5 linked regions of the Callithrix jacchus genome follow. The protein of the gene in region 3 interacts with the protein of the main gene of each other region in a biochemical or structural test. Links are inferred from orthologs where the notes say so. Each region holds a gene or a part of one and is shown on either strand. Other genes may lie near its edges. The genes, in order: MAGI3, GRK2, ADRB2, NHERF1 and GRK6.

What was found.
Region 1: the proteins of ADRB2 (region 3) and MAGI3 form a complex in vitro, tested with the Homo sapiens proteins (2 studies listed by IntAct, with this or other methods). The link is inferred for Callithrix jacchus from reciprocal best matches to the Homo sapiens genes ADRB2 and MAGI3.
Region 2: the proteins of ADRB2 (region 3) and GRK2 form a complex in vitro, tested with the Homo sapiens proteins (2 studies listed by BioGRID, with this or other methods). The link is inferred for Callithrix jacchus from reciprocal best matches to the Homo sapiens genes ADRB2 and GRK2.
Region 4: the proteins of ADRB2 (region 3) and NHERF1 form a complex in vitro, tested with the Homo sapiens proteins (3 studies listed by BioGRID and IntAct, with this or other methods). The link is inferred for Callithrix jacchus from reciprocal best matches to the Homo sapiens genes ADRB2 and NHERF1.
Region 5: the proteins of ADRB2 (region 3) and GRK6 form a complex in vitro, tested with the Homo sapiens proteins (2 studies listed by BioGRID, with this or other methods). The link is inferred for Callithrix jacchus from reciprocal best matches to the Homo sapiens genes ADRB2 and GRK6.

Annotation. Positions count from the first base shown.
Region 1 is NC_133508.1:151,613,117-151,616,628, forward strand, and holds part of MAGI3 (membrane-associated guanylate kinase, WW and PDZ domain-containing protein 3), read left to right. Parts: intron 1-208; coding exon 209-397; intron 398-3,512.
Region 2 is NC_133511.1:124,351,332-124,355,302, reverse strand, and holds the start of GRK2 (beta-adrenergic receptor kinase 1), read right to left. Parts: upstream 2,813-3,971; 5' UTR 2,504-2,812; coding exon 2,391-2,503; intron 2,340-2,390; exon of another isoform or gene 2,216-2,339; intron 1-2,215. UniProt on the Homo sapiens protein: Specifically phosphorylates the agonist-occupied form of the beta-adrenergic and closely related receptors, probably inducing a desensitization of them. Key regulator of LPAR1 signaling.
Region 3 is NC_133503.1:47,515,383-47,519,694, reverse strand, and holds the start of ADRB2 (beta-2 adrenergic receptor), read right to left. Parts: upstream 2,807-4,312; 5' UTR 2,584-2,806; coding exon 1,404-2,583; intron 1-1,403. UniProt on the Homo sapiens protein: Beta-adrenergic receptors mediate the catecholamine-induced activation of adenylate cyclase through the action of G proteins. The beta-2-adrenergic receptor binds epinephrine with an approximately 30-fold greater affinity than it does norepinephrine.
Region 4 is NC_133506.1:130,683,577-130,687,703, reverse strand, and holds the start of NHERF1 (Na(+)/H(+) exchange regulatory cofactor NHE-RF1), read right to left. Parts: upstream 2,802-4,127; 5' UTR 2,588-2,801; coding exon 2,147-2,587; intron 1-2,146. UniProt on the Homo sapiens protein: Scaffold protein that connects plasma membrane proteins with members of the ezrin/moesin/radixin family and thereby helps to link them to the actin cytoskeleton and to regulate their surface expression. Necessary for recycling of internalized ADRB2.
Region 5 is NC_133503.1:68,706,489-68,710,000, forward strand, and holds part of GRK6 (G protein-coupled receptor kinase 6), read right to left. Parts: intron 1,622-3,512; coding exon 1,526-1,621; intron 645-1,525; coding exon 381-644; intron 255-380; coding exon 177-254; intron 1-176.

The sequences.
Region 1 (3,512 bases), on a different chromosome or scaffold from region 3:
CCCTGAGTATTTGGGAAGTTGGATGGACTGCTGTTACCTACATCTTCACTTAGATTATGCCCAAAGCTCACATATGGGGCTGCTTTTCTATTCTTTATATTATTAGAAACTGATTTTTTCTGTGAGAGGCTTACCATAAAAACACTTTATAAAGTCACAAGAAATTATGATGTTCCAGAAATATCAAAACTGCTTATGTTTACTATAGAAAAACAACCTGAGGACGACAGCTCTCAGGCCTTCATTTCAACACAGAATGGATCTCCCCGCCTGAACCGGGCAGAGGTCTCAGCCAGGCCTGCACCCCAGGAGGCCTATGATGTTGTCTTGCAGCGAAAAGAAAATGAAGGGTTTGGCTTTGTCATTCTCACCTCCAAACACAAACCACCTCCAGGAGGTAAGGACTGTTGCTTCTTGTTGTCTCTCCCTGCAAGCCCAGTTTTCTGAGGCTCCCACTGGAGTTTATGAAATAATTAGGAACTATGTAAAGTCCCTTAGATACCTATCTTTTTAAGAATGGTGAATACTTTCCTTATTTTCAAAATTAGGTAATCTGAACCAAACCTTCCAGGCTTCAGGTTTATCTATCATCTCAGATTCCATAAAATATTTAATAAGTTTCAGTAAGCTCCATTTGCATCAAGGTTATACTGAGATAGTATGTCATAGATATGGATTTAATGAAAGGTATAATGCTGAGTTTTTTTAAATGGGGACATAGGTTTTGAAAATTAGAATAAATCATATATGTAGAAAAGAAATACTAGAAGCAGTTGAGAAGAAGCGAAGCAGATTAATAGAAAAATCTTAACCCAAATATGTTTTAGTTATTTCATGTTATTATTCAATAATAATTGTCATATTCCAGCTATAAATTATCCTTGTTGAATGATAAGAGGCATACCTTTTATAAATGTTTCATTAAAACATAAAAATTTTGTCAACAATTGGAAAATGAATCTAAATATCTTGAATTGAGTTTAACAGAATATTCTAATCCAGAAAGATGAATTTATTTATAACAGTTCCATCATCAAAGAAGGAATTACATCCAGTATATTCAGGGCTATTACGATTCAGCAAATGAAATATTTGTCTTGATGCTTCTATAAAATAATTTTTAATATAATTATAAAATCCAGTTGAATATGAGAACCAGCTTCAAGTCAAATGATAAAAATCTTTGACCACATGAAAATGTGCTCTTGCCTTTACAAGTCAGTTTGATTTTATTTTAGATAGTGAGATCCTTTTTGACCAAGTGAGTGGTTGCTAAAACTTTAGTTTAAAAAAAAGAAAACACTTTTAGGAAAGTGTTGTGAGCCAAATCAGTTTGCAAAAATCTTGCTAAAATTAATGCAAGTGTATAAAGGGAAAAAGAGTCCATGACATGGATGAGTTATTGCTTATAGTATTAGGTCCCTGCTCACTGATGCTAGTTTCCATTTTCCCAAAGCAGTTGCCATGGGAACACTTGGAACTGGAACTGTCACTGATGCTGTGAGGATGATTATATGGTCTGTGTCAGAAAAATGAAGGGAAAGCAGCTTTTAGTTGGTTTTTCATGTTGTATCATTGGAAGTCAGTACTTCCAAAAACAGATAACCATTTAGGATAATGATACTGTCAATCTCATAACATGCAGTGACCCCAGGCATTCAGATTAACTAAAACAGTGAGAGAGTATTACTCTAGTGGATAGTAGATAATCTAGAATCTAGTAGATTACTCTAGTAGATAGATGCTAACCACCTTTTATATTGAAGATATTCCCTTTCTAGTAGTACAGAAATTTGGGGAGAGTCTGGTGTTCACCATAAAACTAACCTATATACAGGAATTCAGTAAAATAAGTTGTATTGCTTAAATATGTTTATTAAGTATTTTTATATGTATATATTTGTAAATTTTTAAAAATTTTTAAATGTTTAAGTAGTTTTATATTTCCTTGTTTAAATCATGTTTTACAAAATTTTGATGATTTTACTTATGGATATGCTTCATCTCTATATAAGATAGTGTCATTAAATGTTGGGTTTTGTAATCTGACAAACTTGGATTCAAGTCCTGCTTATATCTTTTAATAGTTGTCTGATCTTGGGCAAATTACTTTCCCTCAGAGAGCTCGAGTTTATTCCATAAAATGAGGATGGTAGAGACACTTCCTGTCTCATGAATGTGAAGATTAAAGGAGCCAGGGTATGTGAAGCCCTTAGCCGAGGCCTTCAGTAAATGTTAGCTGCTGTTGCCTGTTGTAGCTTCTGCTGTCATTGTTATCACCATCATTATTATTTAGAAAATTATCACCATCTCTTGACTTTTCTTTTAAAAAAAACTTAGAATTTCATCAATACTTAATAATGAGATGGGAAAGAAAGCCCAATTAAAATGTAAGATTGAGGCAGCAGCTAAGATGTGGCAGGAAATGAGTATTTGCAGCTCATTAATTATCAGGCTGAATGGTAAATTAGGCTTAGGTTGCTGATGAATTTTATATAAAATACTTGAGATTTCTAGTCAACGTATAAAACCAGAATTGATCATCTAACTGAAATGCTAGTTAATAATCTCATAAAATGTTGAGGCCTGTGAGTATTCTTCTTAGAATTTTATTTTTCACATATAGACAGGAAAAGGGTCCTGGGGCAAATTCAAATGAGGAGCTTTTACTCACAGACATCGAACACTTGCTGCAAACTGTATGACAGAGAAGATTTGGTTCAGAAAGGAGTTAGCACAGGTGGAAAGGCAGGAAACCTGTCTGCCAGAATAAATCATTCTTTTTTTTTTTTTCCAGATAGAGTTTCGCTCTGTCATCTGAGCTGGAGTGCAGTGGCACAATCTGGGCCCACTGCAACCTCTGCTTCCTAGGTTTACGTGATTTTCGTGCCTCAGCCTCCTGATTAGCTGGAATTACAGGCATATGCCAACACGCCTGGCTAATTTTTTTCTATTTTGAGTGGAGATGGGGTTTTGCAATGTTGGCCAGGCTGGTCTCGAACTCCCGACCTCAGGTGATCCACCCACCTTGGCCTCCCAAAGTGCTGGGATTTCAGGCATGAGCCGCTTGCCTGGCCAGATCATTTTTTATGGACCTCGTCTTGGGTATTTTCTGATGACATATATCTCAAGAATAGTTCATAGTAGCATCCTTGGTACCTGTTATGGAATTCTGAGTTTCTCTACTGTTGACTTTTTCAAAGATCAGGGATCCAGGTTCAGCATCCTCACAATTTGTCCAACTGCTGAAAGAATGAAGTACTTAGAAAAGGCCTCTACATAAGATGAAAAAGACTTGGCTAGTTTTTGCTTTGCCAGGACTTCAGAGCTTTTAGTGTTATTCCTTCTTACCATATAGTTTTTAGTTCTGGTTGCAAAAGATTTCTTTGAGAAGGGAACATTTCCAGTTACTGATCTTTCTTTTCCTGAAAAGAAATGTTTTAAGAGCGCTAGAGTGATCCCAGGATCTGGACAAGCCAGGCTGCGAGACAGATTTAGGCCAAAGATGAATG
Region 2 (3,971 bases), on a different chromosome or scaffold from region 3:
AGGAAAGTGCCAGGCAAACGTGAGACACGGCAGGATCACCTTCCCGGGTGGGGGAGCCTCTGCAACCCCTGGGTATGCAAGGCATTACGAAAAGGGTGGCCTGCCTCCAATGCCCCAGCCCTGGAGCCCCAGGCAGGGCAGCCCGCAGCCCTTCCCAGGCCTCAGCATACTGACATTTGGAACTAGTGGATGTGGGCAATATGCCGAAAGCCATGCTGCTGATGGTGACCCAATGTGAAATCTAGGCTGCCCGGCTCGGCCTCCTGCTGTCCTCCTAGAATCCCAACTGATCTTGTTTCTGTTCAGGACTGCATGGGGCATCACACAGTCCTGGTATTTCTTGAGCAACTACCACATGCCAGGCATCACCTTGCCAGCTTCACAGGTTGGTTGTTGGCTGAATTGAGATGACAGATGTCAAAATAAGCAAGTCAGTAATAATTCCTATCATTATTGCTATCACCGTCATCACTACCATGGACAGGCAAGGGGACAGGGAAAGAACATCTCATTTCTCAGGGTTCCAACACCTGCAGAGCCAAGCCAAGGCGGCGCCCCATCTGAAGCAATGCATTCTGGGGAGAGATCACCCGAAGGCAGACAGTTCCAGAAAAGGCCCCGCCTCACACGTTGCAGAACTCCATCCTGCAGGGGGATCTCGAGGCTGCGGCCACCAAGGAGAGCCGTTTCGAGCCCTAGAGGCTGACTCCCCCGTTTCCTCCCTCGTGGCGCTGTCATTTCTGAACTCGTTTCTGTACTAACTGTCACTGCTCCCTGGACAGCCCCCAGCTGACAGTCAGTCTGGTTCCTGTTTTGAGAAATCTGATTGTAAATGTCTTAGAAAAAAATAAAGGCCCTAACGGCCTTTTCAAAATGCAGACCAATTTTCCTCTCTCAGGCTTGATGTTCAGGCAATCTGAACACCGGTGAGCAGGGCATGGCAGAGGGGGCCAGTGAAGGCCATAGGCATGGCAGCCCTGCAGTGTCAGCTGGGGCTGAGATGGCTGCTTCAAAGGCCGAGGGACACCGCAGAGTCACAGCTCTTATTTCACGCCATCCACATTTCACAGATGAGAAGACCAAGGCCCAGTGCGGGAAGGGTAGGTCATAAGATAAGACCCAGAGTCACACGATAAGACCACAGCAGTGTGGACAGGCCCCAGTGGGCACCAGGAGGCTAACTGTCAAGCATGCACAAGGAGTTGCCACACGACACAAGGAATCGTGGCGGGCACATCTGCTCCCTGGCACAGGCCAGAGGAGCCAATGAAATGTAGAACCGGAAGTCTGAAGCCCTGATCTGTTGGCCAGATGCTACCTGGGACTACCTGTGTGACTCTGGACAGGCTACTCACCTCTGGATCTTCAGTTTCCCCACCTGTTCCACAGGGACAAAAGCCACACCTGTCCTCCCTACCCCATGAGCTGCTGAGAGGCTCACACAGTGGAGACTCTATCAGCCATAAAATGCTGGACAAACCGCAGCAATCGTCCACATCCTGTGTACTTTTGCAACTACATCCTGAACAGTCTAAACTTTGATACCAGGTGTGATGTCAGTTGACTTACAGAGAGGTGGCAGCTAAGGTCCAGCTGTTGCAGGTGTGCTGGGAGGGTCCCTGGTTAACAGCACCCACAGGGCACCATATGCAGGGCCCGCCAGAGAAGGAATGTGGGGGAGAGGGCACAGGGGATGTTTCCCCCACCTGAGCGCAGTCTGAGGGGGTGGGTGCCCGCAGCACCCCAGGTCCTGCACACCACGCCGCCCTGAAAGCACTCTCAAGCCCAACTCCAGGACAGCGACCCCACCAGAGGGTGGGAGAAGAGTCCGGAAGACTGGCTGTCCCCCCACACCTCACATAAGTGTAGATAGGAGAGACGGGTGGGGGTAGTAGAAACCCCAAGGCGGGTGCCCGGGAACAGGGACAGCAAAAGGGTGGATGACATGGTCAGGCGAGGTAAATGGTGGCCGGCGGAGGGGAGAGGACCCCACAGGGACCAAGGGCTGCTAGGAGGATGAAGGGGTGCACCGGGTCCCTGTGGGAGAAGGCGGGAGCGAGAGGCTGACAGCGACCGGCGGGGCGGGGGGCCGACGGAGCGCGATAAGGAGGCAGCAGGGCGGCCTGGGGTATCCGAGGGGATCCGGGGGCCGATGGGGCAGAAGAGCTCAGGAGTCGGGGCGCTCTAGGCTCAGGCGCCAGGGTCTGGGGCTTACGGTCTGGATCCGCAGGCGCCAAGGCCACGCTGCTCCGGGCTGGGAGGCCGACAGGGGGTCTCGAGGACCGGCCTCGGGAGTCCGGGTCGCGGGGTCGAGCGCGGGGTCCCTGGTCTGGGGCCGCGTCCGGGGCGCCCGTGGGGTCCGGCTGGGGCCGTGGGCGGCTTCTCCTCACCTGGGCTCGGGCAGCAGGATCTTCTTGCTGGCGCGCGCGGCCGGTGTGGCCTTGCTCTTCTCCATGGCCATCAGGTAGCTCACGTCGGCCAGCACCGCCTCCAGGTCCGCCATCTTGGCGGCGGCGCTGCCTCCTCCCGCCGCCGCCGCCGCCGCCGCCGCCGCCGCCGCTCCCGCTCGCTCGGCGCTCGGCCCGGCCCGGCCGCGGCTCGCTCGGCCTCGGGCGCCGCCGCCTCCCTCCTGGCCCCACTCGGCGCCCGCGGCTCCACTCGCCGCCGCTCACAGGCGGCGCCGCCCCATGGCGCCGGCTCGGGCCCGGCCCCGGCTTGCGCTCCGCTCCCGCCGGGACTGCAGTCGGGGCGCCGCCGCCACCGCCGCCCGCGCGCCCGCGCCCCGGAGCCGCTGCCGCCTCCGGCCCCGCCTGCCGCGCACAGCGCCAGCGAGCCCGCTAGGGCCCGAGCCGGGCGGGCGGCGGCGCCCCCTGGAGGCCGCGCGGAGCCTGACCCCGAACCAGACCTGAGACCGCGGGCTCAGCCCCTGGCCTTGACCGCGGCCCTGGATGCTGGGCGGCGACCCGGGCCTGGAACACGACAGGGACCCGGCACCGAAGACGACCCCAGACCCACTCCCTGACCATAACCTCGGGTCACATCTCTGGATTCCAGGCTCCCCAATCAGGCCGTGGCCCTGACACCAGATGTGGATCACAAGGACCCTGGACGCTCACCGAGACACAGATTCAGACCTTGGAACACGATCCCAGGGCTTCCATCTCAGACCCTGGCTTTAACCCCGTACTCCCTGGCCTTGGACGCAGTCACGACCTAACACCAGACTCCAGACTCAAACTTGGCCCACCACCTCAGACTCCGACCATGACCTCATGTCACAGCCCTGGGTCTCCAACGCCATACTCAGACTGTGACACTCACTCCAGATTCCCAACAGGTCCCAGATCCAGATTTTGGACCATGACCTCGGTCCCATCCTGGTTACTGACCCCAACCTTGATTCTGACTCCAGGCCACTACCATGACCCTGAACCTAGACTTGGGGTCAGGCTTCAGACCTAGACTTGGACTACCAACTCCAGACCACTGTCCTAGACCCAACACCCAGAACTGTGGACACGGACTCAGGACTAGGACATCCAACCTGGGGCCCACACGGGACCCAGAATCCTTAGTAGGTCGCCCAGAACCTGGAACCTGACAACTGCATTCCAGTTACAGGCTTCCCCCATCCCCCGTCCCACCCCTCCTACTCCAGAACCAATCCTGGCCCAGGAGGCACACTCAGGATCAAGGACCCTGCACCCAACCTCACCCCCCAACCGGCTCGTAGACCCAGGTCCCTGGCCAGCATGCTTGGCAGCTCCCTTCCCTGTACCCAATCCCTTCCAGATGCTCCTTCATGATTGTTCCACATGTGGGGTAAAACCTCTCCCAGCTGTGGAGGGCACAGAGGTTTCACTGTGGGGAAACCTGGCAGGGAAAAACCACCCTGCTGAGAGTCCACCCAGAGTGGGGAAAGCCAAGTGTCTCAAGGCAGCATTCATATTTCAACATGCCCCTCTCTCAAC
Region 3 (4,312 bases):
CTCAGGGGCTCTTTTGCAACGTCTGGAGACATTTTTGCTTGTTATAACCTGGGGGTGCTATTGGTATCCAATGAATAGAGACCAGAGGTGCTAAACATCAAAGAGTTATCCGGTCCAAAATGCTAATAGTGCCAGGGCTCAGAACCTTGGTTTAGACTGAAGCGAGGAGAGTCAATGGGAGAAGAAAACAAGGACCAAAGGAAGGAAGAAAAAGGGGTTAAAATTCTGTTTTGAGGTCATGAGGTATCCATCAGTTACATGTTCTCCAGCTTTTCTCCCCATGTCCAATGCCTTTTAATTATTCCGTGGGATTGCAGGGCCATGTTTGAGTAGCTTTTTCATAGGAACATCTTCCTTGTACCTAAAATTCCAAGCCCTGATGCAGTACAAAGAGCTCCACTATAAGACATGGCCAAGACATAAATACAAGCAGTTATGAAACAAGTAGAACTGGAAGGTGGGCAGTGGGGGTGCGTGAAGGGAAGAAAACATATGCCTATAACGCCGTTTCTATGAGTCAGTGTTGCTGAGGTAACAACACAGAACAATAACCATAGGGAGAGCTGAGCTATACTAAGAGCAGGCAGAACTGATTCGGAGCACAAGTGTCAGGAGAGACGCAGCTTTGCAGCAACAGATTCAAAAGCAAATGAAAGGGTTAAGCAATCTGTGCATGTCATTCCGTATCATTCCACATTAAGTCATGGGCAGTTATTACAAGTAGTTACCTGTGGTTTCCAGTGGGGGAGGAAACGGCACTCCAGTCAAGGGGTTTTGGAGAAACAGGTGCAGCGAAGGCATGGTCAAACAATTTATTTACTGTAAACTTTAGACTTTGCTCAGGAAAACAACTGAAACTGCCCCTCGAATCCCTGCCTAAAATACCCCGTGTAAGCAAATAAGAGGAGCGGGGAAGAGTCCATGTTCACAGCTAAAAGGTCCAAGATACTCAAAATCCTCAAGTTCAAGGGTGTAGGAAGGAAAATCTCCTTCGGATACAAATTACCAGCAGCAATATATTACCCCTAATACTTAAATAGTGAGGTAGATACATGGAAAAATCATCAAAACATAGCAGACCCAGGTCCTCTAGGACTAAAGCCCTTCAGACATAAACTTATAAGTTCCATGCAAAGAGGAACTGAACTGTACAAATAACAAATAATCAAATAAGTTTTCTCTCTTTTTACAGCTTAAAAAAATAAAAAAGGCAGAAGGGTGCCCCTCCTCCTGCATATCTCTATACAATTTTATTCTAAGTTTATTACACTCAAGTTAAATAGTCTGTTTAGTGTTCTGTTGGTGGGGGCGTTCTTATAAAGTAGAAAAACTGCTTTACAGCAGTGAGTCATTTGTACTACAGTTCCTCCCTTGTGAATCAATGTTATCGCTAGGCACAGTACCTTGATGGCCCACAAAGTCTTCCGTGCCTGGAAGGTCTTCACACAGCAGTTTATTTTCTTTCTCCTGTTCCAGGTGATATCCACTCTGCTCCCCTGTGTTGCCGTTGCTGTTGCTGGAGTAGCCATTCCCATAGGCCTTCAAAGAAGACCTGTGCAGGCACAGAAGTTCCTGGAAGGCAATCCTGAAATCTGGGCTCCGACAGTAGATAAGGGGGTTGAAAGCAGAGTTGACATAGCCCACCCAATTTAGGAGGATGTAAACTTCCTTAGGGATGAGGTTATCCCGGATCACATGCACAATGTTGACGATAAAGAAGGGCAGCCAGCAGAGGGTGAAAGTGCCCATGATGATACCTAACGTCTTGAGGGCTTTGTGCTCCTTCAAGCAGAACTTGGAAGACCTGCGAAGTCCATGTCCCGTCCGCCCGTCCTGCTCCACCTGGCTAAGGTTCTGGGCATGGAAGCGGCCCTCAGATTTGTCAATCTTTTGGAGCTGCCTTTTGGCCACCTGAAAGACTCTGGAGTAGACGAAGACCATGACCACCAGGGGCACGTAGAAGGACACGATGGAGGAGGCAATGGCATAGGCTTGGTTCGTGAAGAAGTCACAGCAGGTCTCCTTGGCATAGCAGTTAATGGCTTCCTGGTGGGTGGCCCGGTACCAGTGCATCTGAATGGGCAAGAAGGAGGTAAGGCCTGACACGATCCACACCATCAGAATGATCACCCGGGCCTTATTCTTGGTCAGCAGGCTCTGGTACTTGAAGGGTGAAGTAATGGCAAAGTAGCGATCCACCGCGATCACGCACAGGGTCTCAATGCTGGCCGTGACGCAAAGCACATCAATGGAAGTCCAAAACTCACACCAGAAGTTGCCAAAAGTCCACATTTTCATGAGAATATGGCTGGCCCCAAAAGGCACCACTGCCAGGCCCATGACCAGGTCAGCACAGGCCAGTGAAGTGATAAAGTAGTTGGTGACAGTCTGCAGACGCTCGAACTTGGCAATGGCTGTGATGACCAGCACATTGCCAAACACAATGGCCAGGACGATGAGCGACATGACGATGCCCATACCCACCACCCACGCCTCGTCCCGTTCCTGCGTGACGTCGTGGTCCGGCGCGTGGCTTCCATTGGGCGCCAACAAGAAGGCGCTGCTGTTCCCGGGTTGCCCCATGGCGCGCAGTCTGGCAGGTGAGCGCACTGGCTGCCGGCGCCTCAGCGGGCGGATCCCCGGCGGGGCTCTGAGGGCCGCGAACGGACGCCTGGAAGCCTCATTCAGCGGCCGTGAGGTGGGTGTGGTGGGGGCACGTCCTGCACACTTAGCTTGTCGGGTGCTAGGGGCTCACGATGCCAGCCAGTTCCAGCCCGCCCTCTGGAGAAGCCGCCTCGGAGTGCGTACTGCCCGTTATGTGCACAGGACTTTAGGAGAACTGCCCTCGCTGTGACGTGCGGGAACTTTCGGCCAATGGCACGCCGGCAGCCCCGTAGGGGCGAGGCACCCCTCCGCTTTCCTCCCCTCCCCTCACCCTCCCTCTCCCGGGGCTGGCCCGGGCGGGGCCCAGCTGCTCTTTGGCGGGCGGGCCACCACTCCTTCCCGGCTACCCGGGCTGGCCCCAGAGGGCTAAAGCTGGAGCTGGCGTGCTTACCAGCCAACCCGGGAGCTTTTTTGGCTCTTCTGTGGCCGCTACCTGCCTGCCCTGGGAGCCTGTGCAGTCTGAGGTCTCAGGGCAAAGGGCAGCACACCGGCACTGCCCCACATACGGAGGGAAACGAGAGTGCCCACCGAGGCACGCACATACAGGCACAAATACACCCCGGCAGACATGCTCAGACTTATACGGAACCACAGCCATAGACACGGAGACACACCCTCCCAGGGCACCCGCAGGCACACTCGCGAGCGCGCTCACACAGAAGCCGTCAGGCACAAAGTCACCCCTGTCCAACACAGAAACGCGGCCAGAAACAAACACAGAAGCACCAGAAGCACAAAGGCATCGTGACACACACAAAAAGTAAACACAAGCCGGCTTAGAGGCATGCAGAGCGACACAGAGGCGGATGTCTCTATCTGGGTACTCACAAACTTCCCCCACCTGAGCGCTGATAATGCCCCTCTCCCAACATACACCCAGTAACCCAGTATATTCCCTTTCAGACATTTGGCAAGACCGCAGGAGGTGACTTCAGCAGCTGCCGATTTCCTCAGCACACTCACTGTCAAGTACTTTCGGTGCCCTCTTTGGGAATTTGCAGGCATCAAGACAGTTTTACCCTTTGGATTTCATTCGGAGAGGGGGTAAGGATGTATGTATTTTGGGATGGAGAGAGAAAGTTCTGTGCTTTCGTTTTAGTTTCGTTTTGTTTTTAACTCTTAATAAGAGTGTGGCATCACTCACTCATCTGTTGGACAGGAGATGCACTGAGAATTCAAACAATTTCTTCAGTAATCCCAATGCAACTAAAAAAAATCCTTTCATCCTCTGGATAGTTTGTTAATCTTTCAGGTTGAGCCATATGAAATTGCCACCATTTGGTGTCTGTGACTTACCAAAACGGCAAATTCATATGATTCAGAGTATTAAGAATGTCTTAAGATTAAGAACTTTTTGAAACTATAGAAAGCAAAAGATAATTCTCCCTTAAAAAAATAAAGTAAGACCAAATCTCAAAACTAAGATCTTTGTTCACAAAACACTACCCTTTGCATCTGGCATGTGACTTTACCTCTAAAGTTAAATTAATTTTCAGGGTTTGATTTCCCATGTATTAGTGGTGCCTTTGAAAAACTGAAAGTAATTCATGAAGTGTAACTAAACATACTTTGTAGATTACATAATAACTAACAATGGCTAACATTTATGGTCCATTCTGCTATGTACTTTTCATGCATTAGTCTATTT
Region 4 (4,127 bases), on a different chromosome or scaffold from region 3:
ACCACTCTCTGTGCCACACTTTTCCACTGAGATACTCACTTAAGAGCTGATCAAGATAAGGGAACAGCCCCACCTTGCACACAAATTCAAATGAAAACAAACTGGCAAACCTCAATTTGATGCTTTATATAGGAAAGGGATGCGTTTTAGAAAAAATAGCTCTTACAATGTTTGTTAACATTTCTTGCAATAACCGCATGGGCCATCCGCAAGCTTCACACAGAACGGTGTGGGATTTTCTGCTAGAGGGACTCAGTGGTGCTGACTGTGAGTCAGTTTGAAGCAGCTGGGATTCAAACGCCTGGGCATGACGCAGTGCAGCTCAGTATTGAGTAAGGGGCTTGAGTACTTCACATCATTTCTAAAGTTCTAGAGAAGGCAGGCATAACATCATCCAATGCCTCCACCTCACAGACGGGAGAACCAGAGCTCAGAAATCCTGGGACTTGGCTGGTGATAGTGTCCCCAGGGTTTGCTGGTGGCTCTCCTCTCATCTCCTGGTCTAAGGAAGTACACACAAATGTAGGTGTCCCTCTAAAACCTGCAAGAATCAAATTCTGTGCTCACCCAGGAAGCTCAAAGCCACGGCTTTTGAGTGTGTGTGCTACGCCAAGCCTCCACAGGAGCCTCCCAGGCCCTCTGGCACCCAGCAGCGTAACCAAAAGGGCAAAGGGAGGAGCTGAATGAGACTGCAACTTGCAGTAGGGTGGGGGTATCCGTGAGTGCCAAAGTCCAAAAAAAAAAAAAAAAAAGGGTCAAATCGATCGATGGACTCAGCACAAAGTTCACACTGGATTTCTGCCTGGGATTAAAGATCATTGGCCCCAACCTCTGGTGTCAACCCCTTGCTCTGGGTGCTCCGATCCCTTCCCCCACCCCTTGCCAATGCCAGCTTGGCAGGGGCAGGAAGTGGGAGCCTGGTGGCCCTGGCATTCCCAGCACCCAGCTCTGGCCGGACAGGTCTCTGGTGACCTCACTTCCACCTAACCAGTTGATCCCCTACCTAGGGCTTTGCCTTCCACCTTAATGCTGAACTGTGTGGTCTCTCTGTCCACGGAGGATCCTCCTGGCCCCACGGACACTCCCACCACACACTGCCACCAGGGAGAGCTGGTGCAAGCTGAAGGGGCCCTGGGAGGCTCAGGCCCTGCCCTTCGCAGTGTGCACCCGAAGCTTCCTCACTCCACTCTCTGGGGACAGGAGACTCAGCACAACTCCTGTTTTGCCAGCTGCCCCTCCTGCAGCTGATCCAAACCAGGATCCCATGGGCAAACACCAAACATGGGCAAAAAGCAACCGGCCTGCTGGCTCTGTGGGCACGAGTGAGCGTGGCAAGGCCAGGGCAAGACCACCGGCTCGCCACTTGCCTCAAGAGCTCTCTCCCCTCCCCCCAGCCATCTTCCCCTCCTTCCAAGGTCTTCCCCCTCCCCTCCCTGATACAGGCGCTTACTCCTCACATTCCTGAGTCGTAAATCCTCCTGGGTGGCAGAACCACCACTCAGAGATGCCTTGACTCCTCCTCCCGCCAAGCACCCCCACACCGCCCTGAGATGGCGGGGCTTTCTCTCCCTTGGAAGTTACACCGCACTCCGGGAGGATGAAGTCCAGCAGGGCTGAAGCTGATTGCACACACCGGCGGGCTGAGGGAGGGCCACCTCGCGCCGGGGCTCCGCACAGGAGGAGGAAGGGCTATTCCTCTAGCTTTTGAAGTAGGGGTGGTGGATGAAGCTGGCACCTCTGGGGCGGAGAGTCCTTCCTCCCGAGCCCATCTGCGGACTGGGGTGAACGATGAGAGGGCGCCAGGGAGGGGCAGGATTGGTGGATTACGAGCAGACACAGACCTGAGGGAAGGGGGACTGGGTTCCCCTGCGCTGCCCTCTCAAGGGCCAGGGAACAAGAGGTGCAGGTGGCAAAGGCGCTCAGGCTCCCAGCACAGCCAGGGAAGGAGAGAGGTCGCGGGACGCAGCCCCAGGCCTGCCTAGGATCTACCAGGGAGCCTGGTCGGCGGGCGGAAGCCGTCTCCCCCTCGCAGTTAGAGTTTTCAGAAAGACAACGGCGGGCGCGGGGCTGGACGGCCGTGGCGCCTGGGTCCCTCCCGATCCCCCTCCCACCTCATTCCAGCCGGCGCCGCCCCGGCCCGGCTTACCTGCTCCGGGTGGCTCTTGTCGGCCTCGCTAGGCTCATTTTCGTTGCCAGCCCCCTGCGCCTCGGCGGCGGCTGGCGACTCGGCCTTGCCCGGCGCTTCCTGGGTGCGCAGCAGCTCCTCGCGGACCTGGACGCCGAGCTTCTGCAGCTGCTCGTCCGTCTCGGGGTCGACCACCAGCAGGCGCACGGCGTTGAGCGCGGCGCGGATGCGGCTCACCACCTGCTGGTGGGTCTCCTTCTCCACGTTCTCGCCGTTCACCTCCACCAGCCGGTCCCCGGCCAGCAGCCCTGCCTTCTCCGCCGGCGAGCCGGGCTCCACCAGCCGGATGTACTGGCCCACCTTGCCCTTCTCGCCGTGCAGGTGGAAGCCGTAGCCGTTCGGACCCTTTTCCAGGCAGCAGAGCCGGGGCAGGGGCGCCCCGGCCGCCGCGTCCGCGCTCATCTCGCCCTGCGACGACTCAGCTGCGCCACTCGGGGTTCCGTTGGAGACGGGACGGCTCAATCCTTCTTCCCGCCCAGAGAACCGGGAACGCAGCAGGGAAGCCCAGCGCCGCGGGACCGGCGAAGCGAGCAGGTGTCCCGGGAACCGCCGGCCGCCGCGAGCCTTGAGGAGTAAAGAAAGGAGCGCGGACCAATCCCCGCCTCGCTCGGCGTCTGAGCTTTCCAGAGCCCGCCCAGGCTCCTTACCCCGGGGGCGGGGCCACGCAGAGGGTGTGGGACTCCGCGAGCCAATCGGAGGCCGCGGGCCGGGGCGCTGCTGCCGGGTGAACGGCGCCGGCCAATGGAAACGCGTGGGGCGGGGCCTGTCCTCGGCGCGGAGCCCAGTGGCGGGCGAAGACAGAGCGCTCAGGAAGTGGAAGTGTTTGTTGCCGAGCTGCCGGCGCTGGGGTGGCAGGGGCGGGGCCCGCTCAGTTCTCGGTTCTGGGTGGTGGGGCCCACCGGCTCCGGCCTGGTTTCCCCTGCCTGTGGCGGAGAGTGAGGAGAGGCCCTCTGGTAAAGGGACTCTTTTTTTCTTATTTATTTATTTATTTTGAGACGGAGTCTTGCTCTGTCTCCAGGCTGGAGTGCAGTGGCGCGATCTCGGCTCACTGCAGCCTCCGCCTCCTGGATTCAAGCGATTCTCCTGCCTCAGCCTCCCGAGTAGCTGGGATTACAGGCGCCCGCCACCACGCCCGGCTATTTTTTTGTAGATTTAGTAGAGACGGGGTTTCGCCGTGTTGGCCAGGCTGGTTTCAAACTCCTCACCTCAGGTGATCCACCCACCTCGGCCTCCCAAAGTGCTGGGATTACCGGTGTGAACCACTGCACTGGCCAACGTTTTAACAGCCTTTAGCCAAAGCATGGGTGCAGCTCTGCTTAAGGGGGACCGGCTGTTGCCGGGGCAACGGCTCCCGCGGGGCAGCGAGGGCCAGGCAGTCTTGAGAATTAAGACTGAGAGCCTCCTCGGACCCTATAGAGTTGTTTGAATAACATTTTTCCGTTTGTGGGAACCCTAACGCTAACCCACTTTGCACTGTCAGGCAGCGCTGCCTGACACTTGGCACTCCTCGCATAGAGGAGTGCAGGTTCTGATTCCTGCTTGGGAAGGTGCAGAGGTGCGGGCTCGGTGGAGAGCCTGGGACCTCGAGGGGCAACTCACTGAAGACAGGACACCTAGGGCAATGGCATGGGCTTTGGTGTCAGCGTTTGGCTAGGGAGGTGGGATGGGGAGAGGCAGAACAGACTCAGATAATCAGCCTCTGGGTACACTCCACAGGGAACAGAGCCTTGGTTTTTTTTTTTTTTTTTCCAACAGAGAAAGAAAAATGATTAGGACTGTAAGATAAGCCTTTAGCTCCCTCTTGCCAAAGAGAGGCTGGTCACAGAGGTAGGGAGTCTGTTAAGGGGGGAACTGACCCTCAGGAGAGACACTGAGAGGAGGATGGAATGATTTTGGCAGTGAATGACAATTCCGTCAACAGGACACCCCTCCCACACACACT
Region 5 (3,512 bases), about 21 Mb from region 3:
GCGCAGCAGAGGCACTGGGAGGCTGCCTGGCCGGAGCCCAGCCCATACCCTGGGCTGCATGCCCACTGTGCTGCCTGGAGCAGTTCCAGGGCAGTCTCTGCCCAGGCTGTGGTCACTCCTCTCCCTGTCACTGGGCTCTAGTGGCTGCCGTCATCTCTCCATCACTGCTCACTCACCATGTGGCTCAGAAAATTCTGCATTAGCCGCCGCCCACATGCCTTCCGCTTCTCATCTGGGGTCACTTCATACTCAGCCTGCAGGGTGGAAAGCAGAGAAGCTGGAGGTCTGGGCAGAGCAAACAGCAGAGAAACAGGAGGAAGGGCACATGAGGCTGAGACCTTGACCACCCATGGGGCTGGGCAGGGCTGGGCTGCACTCACCACCCCATCCAGGAAGGTGATGCAGCGGCTCAGCTCCGGCCTCGTGGCACAGAACTCTCGAAACAGCAGGCGCCCAATGGGCTGCCGCTCGCACAGGCTGTGGTAGTCACGCTCTGTGGGCAGAGATGGGAGCTGCTGGGTCCACAACCCCAGAGCCCATGGATGGGGCACTCCTGCCCATACCACCAGGCTCTGGGCCCCCACAACAGCTTCCAGCTCTGCAGTGTGGCAGCCGTGATCTTCTTCAGAATCCTCACCGCAACCCTGAGGTAGGTACAGCTATGTTGGGGCTATGAGGCCCAGAGAAGCTAACTGACTAGCTCAATGTCACACAGCCAGGAATCTGGCTCCAGAGCCCAGGCCTCCACCCACCTCCCTGCGATGGTCTCCTGCTTTACATGACTTGCATATGTCACAGTACCGGGGTTGGGTGCGGTCTGTGATGTTCCGGCCCAGCCCAGCCTGGGCCAGGCCCACACCTGCTGCCTGCCTGGCGAAAGTGCGAGAGGAAGCTGTGGCTTCCGGCAAGCTCTCAGCTGGGCCTCCTTCCCAGGAGGTGGAAGCGGCCTGGGTGCGCTCTGGCCATGTGCAGGCCACCGGGGGGCCTCAGCAACCTTAGGTGCTGCTCAGACCTGGGGCCTTGGCCAAGATTGGCAGGAACTGGGGTCCTGGGCCCTTCTGTCCCCTCCCAGGAGTAACCCTGTCACACTGCCCAGGCTGAGGGTTTCTGATCAAGGCTTTGCTAGGCACCACTCAAGGCTGGGCCTGGGAGGCTAAGACCCGGCCTGGGGCTCCCAAGGCAGTCAGTCTGTGGGCTGGCCTAGCTGCCGCTCCCTCTGTCCTGTGGATGCTGCTCACCCTAGCTGGCTCTCCTTTCCAAAGCGGACTCATCTGCCCCAATCTGCCCCTGCCCTACTCCTGACACCACTTCAACCACCTCCAGCAGTATGACCCTGTTTGTTGTCTGCTCTCCAAGCATTCCAAGCCTGGGAACTGAAGCTAGGCTCAATGGTGCAGCCCCATCCTCCTGCTCACTGGAGCCACCAAGCCTGCCCCTCTGCCCCAAGGCAAGGTCTCAGGGGAGGCTCCCCCGGCCCTAGCAAGGCCCCTCGCCTCAGCATCCCCAGGCTCTGCCCAGGCCTCACCGAGGCTGAGCCGCAGCTCTTCACACTGGCTGATGTGGGGGAACTGGAGCATCTGCCGCCATTTCTTGCTTTTGCCTTTTCGATTCCCACCGCCACCTGTGGGAGCAATCAGGCACTGGGTCTCAAGTCCCACTGCCCCAGGACTGCCTCTGGGTCCTCATTGAGGCTCAGGGCCTCTAGGGCCCAGCCAAGGCGGAGCCCACTCTGGGCGGCACCTTGGGCTTTCCCAAGCACGTTCCAGCACGCTCTTGCCGCGTTCCAGGACACACGTGGTTCTCCTGCGTCAGGCTTCTGAGCTGGGAGAGCCAAGAGGAGCAATAAGGTTGCTGGGGGAGGAGATAGCTCTGACAATGGGTCCAGCCTCAGTTGCCTCCCACCAGGTAGGAGTTCCCCCGGTTAAGAAAGGAGAGAAGGGCATCACAGTGGTGGGAACTGCAGAAGGTCCAGGAGGGAAAGATTCTAGGACAGCAGGGCAAGCCCGAGAGATGTACAGGGCAGCCTGGAACAAGGGGGCTCCCAGACCTCTATCGCCAGGCTCCACATCATGGCTATCAGATGCTCAAGCAAGGCAGGGGCAAGGGGAGACACTCAGGACTTTCCTTCCCCTGCACACAGGGGTTCCACGGCCCCCTGCCTGCCTTGCTTGACCTCGCAGACCCCCATCTGCAGCGGCTGAGTCCACGACAGCTCAATTGCCTGCAGAGCCCAACAGGTATGGGAAACGTGGGCCAGATGTGAGATGACCAGGAACAGAGAAGGCCCCTCTAACAGGCAGCTGTAGCACAACTCCAGCAGATTGCCTGATTGCTGCTAGGCGGGTTTCTGGCTCAGTGTGGCCAAGCCAGCTCTTCTGATTTTTCAAAAGCAGCTAGAAATTCACTCTTACATAAAATATTGGCCCCCATTTTATTAAAAAAAAAAAAAAAAAAAAAACAGGGCTAGGCACAGTGGCTAACACCTCTAATCCCAGCACTTTGGGAGGCCAAGGCAGGCGGATCATGTGAGATCGGGAGTTCAAGACCAGCCTGACCAATATGGAGAAACCCCATCTCTACTAAAAATACAAAATTAGCCAGGTGTGGTGGCGCATGTGTGTAATCCCAGCTACTCAGAAGGCTAAGGCAGGAGAACTGCTTGAACTTGGGAAGCGGAGCTTACAGTGAGCTGAATGTGTGCCACTGCACGCCAGCCTGGGCAACAAGAGTGAAACTGTCTCAAAAAAAAAAAAAAAGCCAGGCATGGTGGCTCATGCCTGTAATCCCAGCACTTTGGGAGGCCAAGGTGGGTGAATCATGAGGTCAGGAGTTCAAGACCAGCCTAGCCAATATGATGAAACACCATCTCTACTAAAAACACAAAAATTAGCCAGTGTGATGGCTCATGCCTGTAATCCCAGCTACTTGGGAGGCTGAGGCAGAAGAATTGCTTGAACCCAGGAGGCAGAGGTTGCAATTAGCCAAGATCACGCCACTGCACTCCAGCCTGGCGATAGAGCAAGACTCTGTTTCAAAAAAAAAAAACAAAAAAAACCTCACTGCAGCCAAATAAATAAAATGTGTCAGAGAGGGAGCCAAATGTGTGTGGCCTATGGGCCACCAGGTTTAGGAGGGAAGGGGCCTGAGCCTCCCAGAGCTGGGTCTGAATTTCTGAGTCACACTGTAAGCCCATCACTTGCTATCTGTGAACCTGTTTCTCCATGTGTGTTATGTGGTGAATAGGAGATACCGTCCACATCGAGTAGGGCTGAATCAAGAGGTGAGCCCCAGCTCCAACAATTCTATGGCAACCTTAGACAACCACTTTCTCATGCTGGGCTTCAGTTTCCCTCTGGTTTTCCAGTCCTGTATCTATCTGGCCTGGGTGAGGGCAGGTGGTGCAAGGGTAGAAGTTGCCTTCTAGGGAGGGGGCAAAGCAAGGTCCCTCGATGACTCCCTGACCTAAGCTGCCTGGAGGAGGAAGTATTGCAGGAGCCCATTGAGAAACCTGC